Linked DNA regions of Danio rerio. The protein of the gene in region 1 interacts with the protein of each later gene in a pairwise test. Links are inferred from orthologs where the notes say so. Each region holds a gene or a part of one and is shown on either strand. Other genes may lie near its edges.

The links.
Region 2: the proteins of ttc23 (region 1) and trim35-4 interact in binary tests that used the Homo sapiens proteins (3 or more experiments, as listed by UniProt). The two-hybrid records come from large-scale screens. The link is inferred for Danio rerio from reciprocal best matches to the Homo sapiens genes TTC23 and TRIM10.

Annotation. Positions count from the first base shown.
Region 1 is NC_133193.1:22,240,540-22,243,325, reverse strand, and holds the end of ttc23 (tetratricopeptide repeat protein 23), read right to left. Parts: intron 1,449-2,786; coding exon 1,366-1,448; intron 1,212-1,365; coding exon 1,100-1,211; 3' UTR 674-1,099; downstream 1-673. UniProt on the Homo sapiens protein: Participates positively in the ciliary Hedgehog (Hh) signaling.
Region 2 is NC_133178.1:701,495-704,884, reverse strand, and holds the end of trim35-4 (zinc-binding protein A33), read left to right. Parts: intron 1-180; coding exon 181-722; 3' UTR 723-2,655; downstream 2,656-3,390. UniProt on the Homo sapiens protein: E3 ligase that plays an essential role in the differentiation and survival of terminal erythroid cells. May directly bind to PTEN and promote its ubiquitination, resulting in its proteasomal degradation and activation of hypertrophic signaling.

The DNA.
Region 1 (2,786 bases):
ATTTAGGTTTGGGCTCTAGCTGGGCCACTGAAGTACATTCACAGAGTTGTTGTGAAGCTACTCCATTGATATTTTGCTGATGTGCTTTGGATCCTTGTCCTGCTGAAAGATGAACCGTCGCCCCAGTCTGAGGTCAAGAGCACTCTGAAGCAGGTTTTCATTCAGGATGTCTCTGTACATTGCTGCATTCATCTTTCCCTCTATCCTGACTAGTCTTCCAGTATCTGCTGCTGAAAAACATCCCCACCGCATGATGCTGCCACTATTATGCTTCACTGTAGGGATCGTTTTAGGAAATAAATGAACTTAATCTATTTTGGAATAAGGTTGTAAGGGCTATGAATACTTCTTGGATGCACGATATATTTCCAATCAAAAATGTGAAGTTAGATATATTTACAGTGAGACATTTACAAAACATTTTCATGGAACATGATCTTTAATTATATCCTTATGTTTTTTACAGTATATTTTGGGCTATTTCCAAAAAAGTAATCCAGGGTCACGTATACCTGCATCCCTTAACTTTCGAGGTGGAGTTTTAGCACTTATAAACTATGTATAGGCTTTTATGACTCAACCAACACTGTGTGAAACCTCTTTTACAGATATACGGTTTGGGCTGTCAGGTAACAGATGTAGTTGTTTTTAAATAAAAATTCACAAAGAAAAAGGGTGCTTTGTGTGCTGTTTTACTTTTTAAAAAAGACTAGTCTGTTCACTGTTTGAACACTGGTTTATATGCAAACAATAAATAAACCCTGAAAGCTCACATTTCACACACATTTCTCACACATTTCAGCAATTCTCAGAAATAAGAAAACTCTCTAGTCAAGGAGTGTTTGCAGAAAACCACTGTGACGGTGTATTAGATCACTGTTGGACGTTCTCATTTTCTGAACTGGAGATATAGTCACCTTGCCAACCACTTTGAGACTCAGCAACTCACATTAAAGACACAGCAGAGCTTGTGTGCTGTTCGAGGAATATTGCCTTATTCTTTTCCAGCCCACAGATTTCCCTGGGTGAAAAAGGATGAGGTCAAACATCCTTGACAGCCTATGCCGCATTCATTAGATCAGCCTGCTGGTCACTGTTGTTACGAGTTAGACAGACTAGATGTCACCTCAGATGCAGATGCAACCACTGCACAGAACGGAGGCCTTGTTTCAACGCGGCTTGCTTTACGTTTCTCACTCACCTCTGGCGACCTAGAAAAAGACCATAAAGCATTGAATGCCTCATTTATAAATAATATTCGTTTCCACTAGCACACTATGTTCAGGTGAAATGTCAGTGTGTATTGCACTGGAAGCACATTTTTAGACTTCTTGCTAGTGTAAATGTCTAGCAAAGGAAACTCACTGAGACAGCATGTCCACGCTTCTTTGAGTGGCTTTGGTTTTCTTGTGCTGAGGACCATACAGCAGACTCTGAATTTCAAAACACTGAAAAACAAAAAGGATACGAGTGGTTGACAAAACATCTGGGAGGCCATGATGTCACATAGTGTGCACCATCTGAAAGTATGTTAAATATACACTGCCGGATTTATAAAGACACTTTGGATTTAAGCAAATACTTAAATACCCCAAAATGACTGTTTACTCAGCCTCCAACTTTTAGAAGTTTCTGTGTCCTTTTTAACACCAAAGAAGATGTATTTTGCAGAATGTTGGAAACTAGAAGCATTGACTTTAATACAGTAGGGAAAATAATCCTATAGAAGTCGATGGCTTCTGGTTTCCAAAATTTAAAAGATACATAAACAGGTTTGGAAATAGTGGAGGATGAGTAAATGATGACATTTTTTTTTGGGGGGGGGGCATGTTTATTTTTCTGGCTTAAGTTCAACAATGGGCTGCACAGTGGCGCAGTGGGTAGCAGTTTCATCTCACAGCAAGAAGGTTGCTGGTTCAAGCCTCGGCTGAGTCAATTAATGTTTTTGTGTGGAGTTTGCATGTTCTCCCCATGTTCATGTGGGTTTCCTCCGGGTGCTCCAGTTTCCCCACAGGTCAAAAAATTAATAAATAAAAAACTCATAGGGCATGTGTTATATGGGTAAGTTAAATTGTCCGTAGTGTATGTGTGTGAATGAGTGTGTATGGATGTTTCCGCTGCATAAAACGTATGCTGGATAAGTTGGCGGTTCATTCCGCTGTGGTGACCCCAGATTAATAGAGACTAAGCCGAAAAGAAAATGAATAAATGAAAGTTTTACAGTTCTTTTAACGCTTTTTTCAATTGTTTTAATGTTTAACTGACGCAGAGTGTAGCATTTTATTTCTTGAACAACCATGCTGGAAGTAGTATCCCATGACTATATTCTATGACTATAAAACTTAAAGTAAACACAATTAAACACAGACTCCCTGACTAGTTTTAATAAAGATTTTTTTAAAAAGGATAATCACCATTTTAATGATGACATGAAAGGATTTTACACAACAAAGGGCTTCATGCAGTCAAAACTGCCTGCATTTGCGAAACTATAAAACATTTGGTTTAAATGCACGGTATGTATGGTAAACAGTATGTAAATGTCATTTTTGCCACTAAAGGGTTAATATTTATCAAAGAGTTTTTAGTGGAGAATGTGGAAAATGATTAGTCAATCTACAGAAATAAGGGTAGGAAGATTTAATAAATTATAGAATAGGGATTGTCTGTGCAGTAGTGGTTAGTAACAAAACGGGATACTCATTCAGATATATATGAAAGACACCAGTGATTAGTGTGATATCCAGTAAAGTTATAGTAGCTGGTGAGTTTTAACAGTACACCAA
Region 2 (3,390 bases), on another chromosome or scaffold:
GACCGAAAATAAAATGAATGAATGTATTTTGTGTGTTGTTTGCACCCGACTATAAATATAAATTCTGGTACTGCAAAGTTTTCCTCAAGCCTTTGCTGTAGCTCAGAATTATAAATTTGTCTGATTCTGATTGCTAATGAATAAGTGTAAATGTGAGCATCTGCTGTTTGCTCTCTGCAGCTCCTGTGGTTCTGGACCCGAACACGGCTCATCCAGATCTGCTGGTGTCTGCTGACCTGAGCAGTGTGAGATGGAGCTGGAGCAAACGGGCTCTCCCTGATAATGCGGAGCGATTCGACCACCACCCCTGTGTTCTGGCCTCAGAAGGCGTCCGCTCGGGCACTCTCAGCTGGGCAGTGGAGGTCAGACAGAGCTCAGACTGGACTCTGGGGGTCACCACAGAGCTCAACCAGAGGAAGGGCTGGGATTTCTTCAGCGCTGACGTCTGGAGCGTGTGCTATGATGAGTACAGCGTGTCCGAGCGGCCCGTGTTCGGGGTCCGGGTGAAGCAGCGGCTGGAGCGAGTGCGTGTGGATCTGGACTATGATGGAGGAACCATCAGCTTCTCTGATGCGGTCAATAACACACACATACACACCTTCAGCTCCAACTTCACACACACACTCATTCCGTTCTTCAGCTGTTACACCATATTCAATCTCAAGATCTTACCGTCGAATAGTCAACAACAGCTCAATACTAATGCAGAACTTACTCCTTAAAGAGACAGTACACACAAAAATGACAGCTTACTGAGTATTTACTCTCCCTCAAGTGCTTCCAAACCTGAAGTTTCTTTCTTCTGTTGAACACAAAGCAAGATATTTCGAGAAAGCTGAAACCATTGACTTCTATAGGAAAAGCAAAGACTATGGAAGCAATAGTTACAGGTTTTTGGCTTTCTTCAGAATATTTTCTTTTGTGTTCAACAGAAGAAAGAAACTCATAAAGGTTTGGAATGAGTAAAGTGTGAGTAAATGAGGACAGATTTTCAGTTTTTGGGTGAGATGTGCCTTTAAAGCAGGTATTCACCTCTTGAAGTTAATGTTGACCATCAGCTTTTGGGTTTCCAGCATTTTTCAAAATATGTCTATTAGTTTGTTCATCAGAACAGGTTTTGATCAAGTGGAGGGAGAATTTTCTGAACATTATCACATCTGTGTTGTTTGAAACTAGGGCTGGGATAATATATTGATTTATTGCGATTTGAGAAATGATTCTGAAATGTTCTGAAGGCATTGCAATTCTTTCTTAAATATATTCTGAGTTTAGTTTTTACCACCTGCTGGTAAAATGATCCTAGAGCACCGTCTGCTGGAAAAAACTATGCTAGAGCACCGTCTGCTGGTAATAACTAGCCTAGAGCACCGTCTACTAGTAAAAACGATCCCAGAGTACCGTCTGCTGGTAAAAACTAGCCAAGAACACCGTCTGCTGGTAAAAACAATCCTAGATGGCCATCTGCTGGTAATAACTAGCCTAGAGCACCATCTGCTGGTAAAAACTAGCTTAAAACGTCATTTGCTTGTAAAAACTAGCCTTAAACGCTGTCTGCTGGTAAAAAAAAAAAACTACCCTAGAGTACCGTCTGTTGGTAAAAACTAGCTACTGGTAAAAACTACCGGTAAAAACTAGCCTAGAGCACCATCTGCTGGTAAAAACAATCCAAGAGTGCTGTCTGCTGGTAAACACTAGCCTAGATCGCCATCTGCTGGTCAAAAAAATTGTTTAGAGTACTGTCTGCTGGTGAAAACTAGCCTAGAGCACCATGTACTGGAAAACACAACTAGCATATTGCACCATCTACTAGTAAAACTAGCCTAGAGCGCTGTCTACTGGTAAAACAATCCTAGAGTACCGTCTGCTGGTAAAAACTAGCCTACAACACTGATTGCTGGTAAAAACTAGCACATAGCACCCTCTACTGGTAAAAACAACTAGCATAAATCACCATCAACTATTTAAAACTAGCCTAGAGTGCCGTCTGCTGGTTTGAAACCTGCCTAGAGTGCCATCTACTGTTAAAAACTAGTATAGAGCACGTCTACTGGTAAAAAAAAAAAAAAAACTAGCCTGAAGCGCCATCTGCTGGTAAAAACTAGACTCAGAATTGTTTCTAGAGAGAGTCACGGTGTATTCAGGTATTTATCTTCCCAGGCCTATATAAATCACATTATATACTGAAGCATCATCGTTAATGACGTATTCAGCAATTTGAGATGCTGCTGTGAAGAGGAAAGTGTCTGAGGATTATTCCACTATATTTATCATTATTTTGTTACTGTTGTTCTTGATGTTCTCAGTGTCTGGTGTTTGATTTTTCACTCATTCCCTGTTCTGTTTATCATGTTTTCTCCTATTTCTGCACGTGCACACTTTATACACAACTGACACTTTTCTAGATGTTGATGAATCTGTTCTGCTTCAGGTGAAGATGATTAATAAGCTACGTTTGTTTAATTACCCCTAATCTTTAATCTCACTGATCCATTGACCAAAAATGTCAGATTTCCGTTGCTTTTGTTTTCATTCAGCTGATTTCTGTTTCAGATTTACTGTATATAAAGTGAAAACAATCCTTCACTTTCCTTCATTTCATGCTTCAGCGAGTCTGTGAGGCTTCAAGCGTTAAATAAAAGACGTCTGTGTTTGTAACAGTGTTCATTATAATAACTCATATAGGTTTTATTTGTTTCATAAGCATATCTGTTCATATTTCAGTGTAAATCTCTGCCTAAAGGCAGAGTCCGGGCTGATTTAGAGATTTGGAGCATTAGAAAACTCCAGCTATGAGGCCAAAAACAAAATAACTCTTCAACTCTTTTACACATGATCATTATTTTGCTCGTAACAGTTTATTTATGCTTGTAGACTTGTGTCTTGCCAAGCTGTGTTAGGTTTTTTCACGATCATAAAGACTTTATCAGTTCATTATTAATAATTAAAAAAAAGTCTTGTAAAAAATGCAAACTTAAAAGTAATGCTACTTTTCCATTTAATAAGTTGTTATTAATGTTTAATAATTCTACAAGCATGTCCTAATAGCACACGTACAACACAGAGATCTATTGATGACTGATCTATTTCCTCAGCTTTATGTTTAATAAAAGCAGCAGCCTCTTCTGTTGATCTCTGCAGTGCGCAGTGGTTTATACTGATTAAACTGATCACTGATCTGAGAAACTTATTATATACTTAAAACAATTAAACCCCAGAAAATGAAAAACATCACTGTGTGCTGAAAAAAACTTATTAAATATATGTTTAGAGTTGTAACATTAAATAAATAGACAAATAACATGACAGGCAGAAATTAATTATGACAGATTTTTTTACGAACATACCCACTGTTTGTCCAGTGCAGCCTGATAAAACTGATTCACGTGTCAA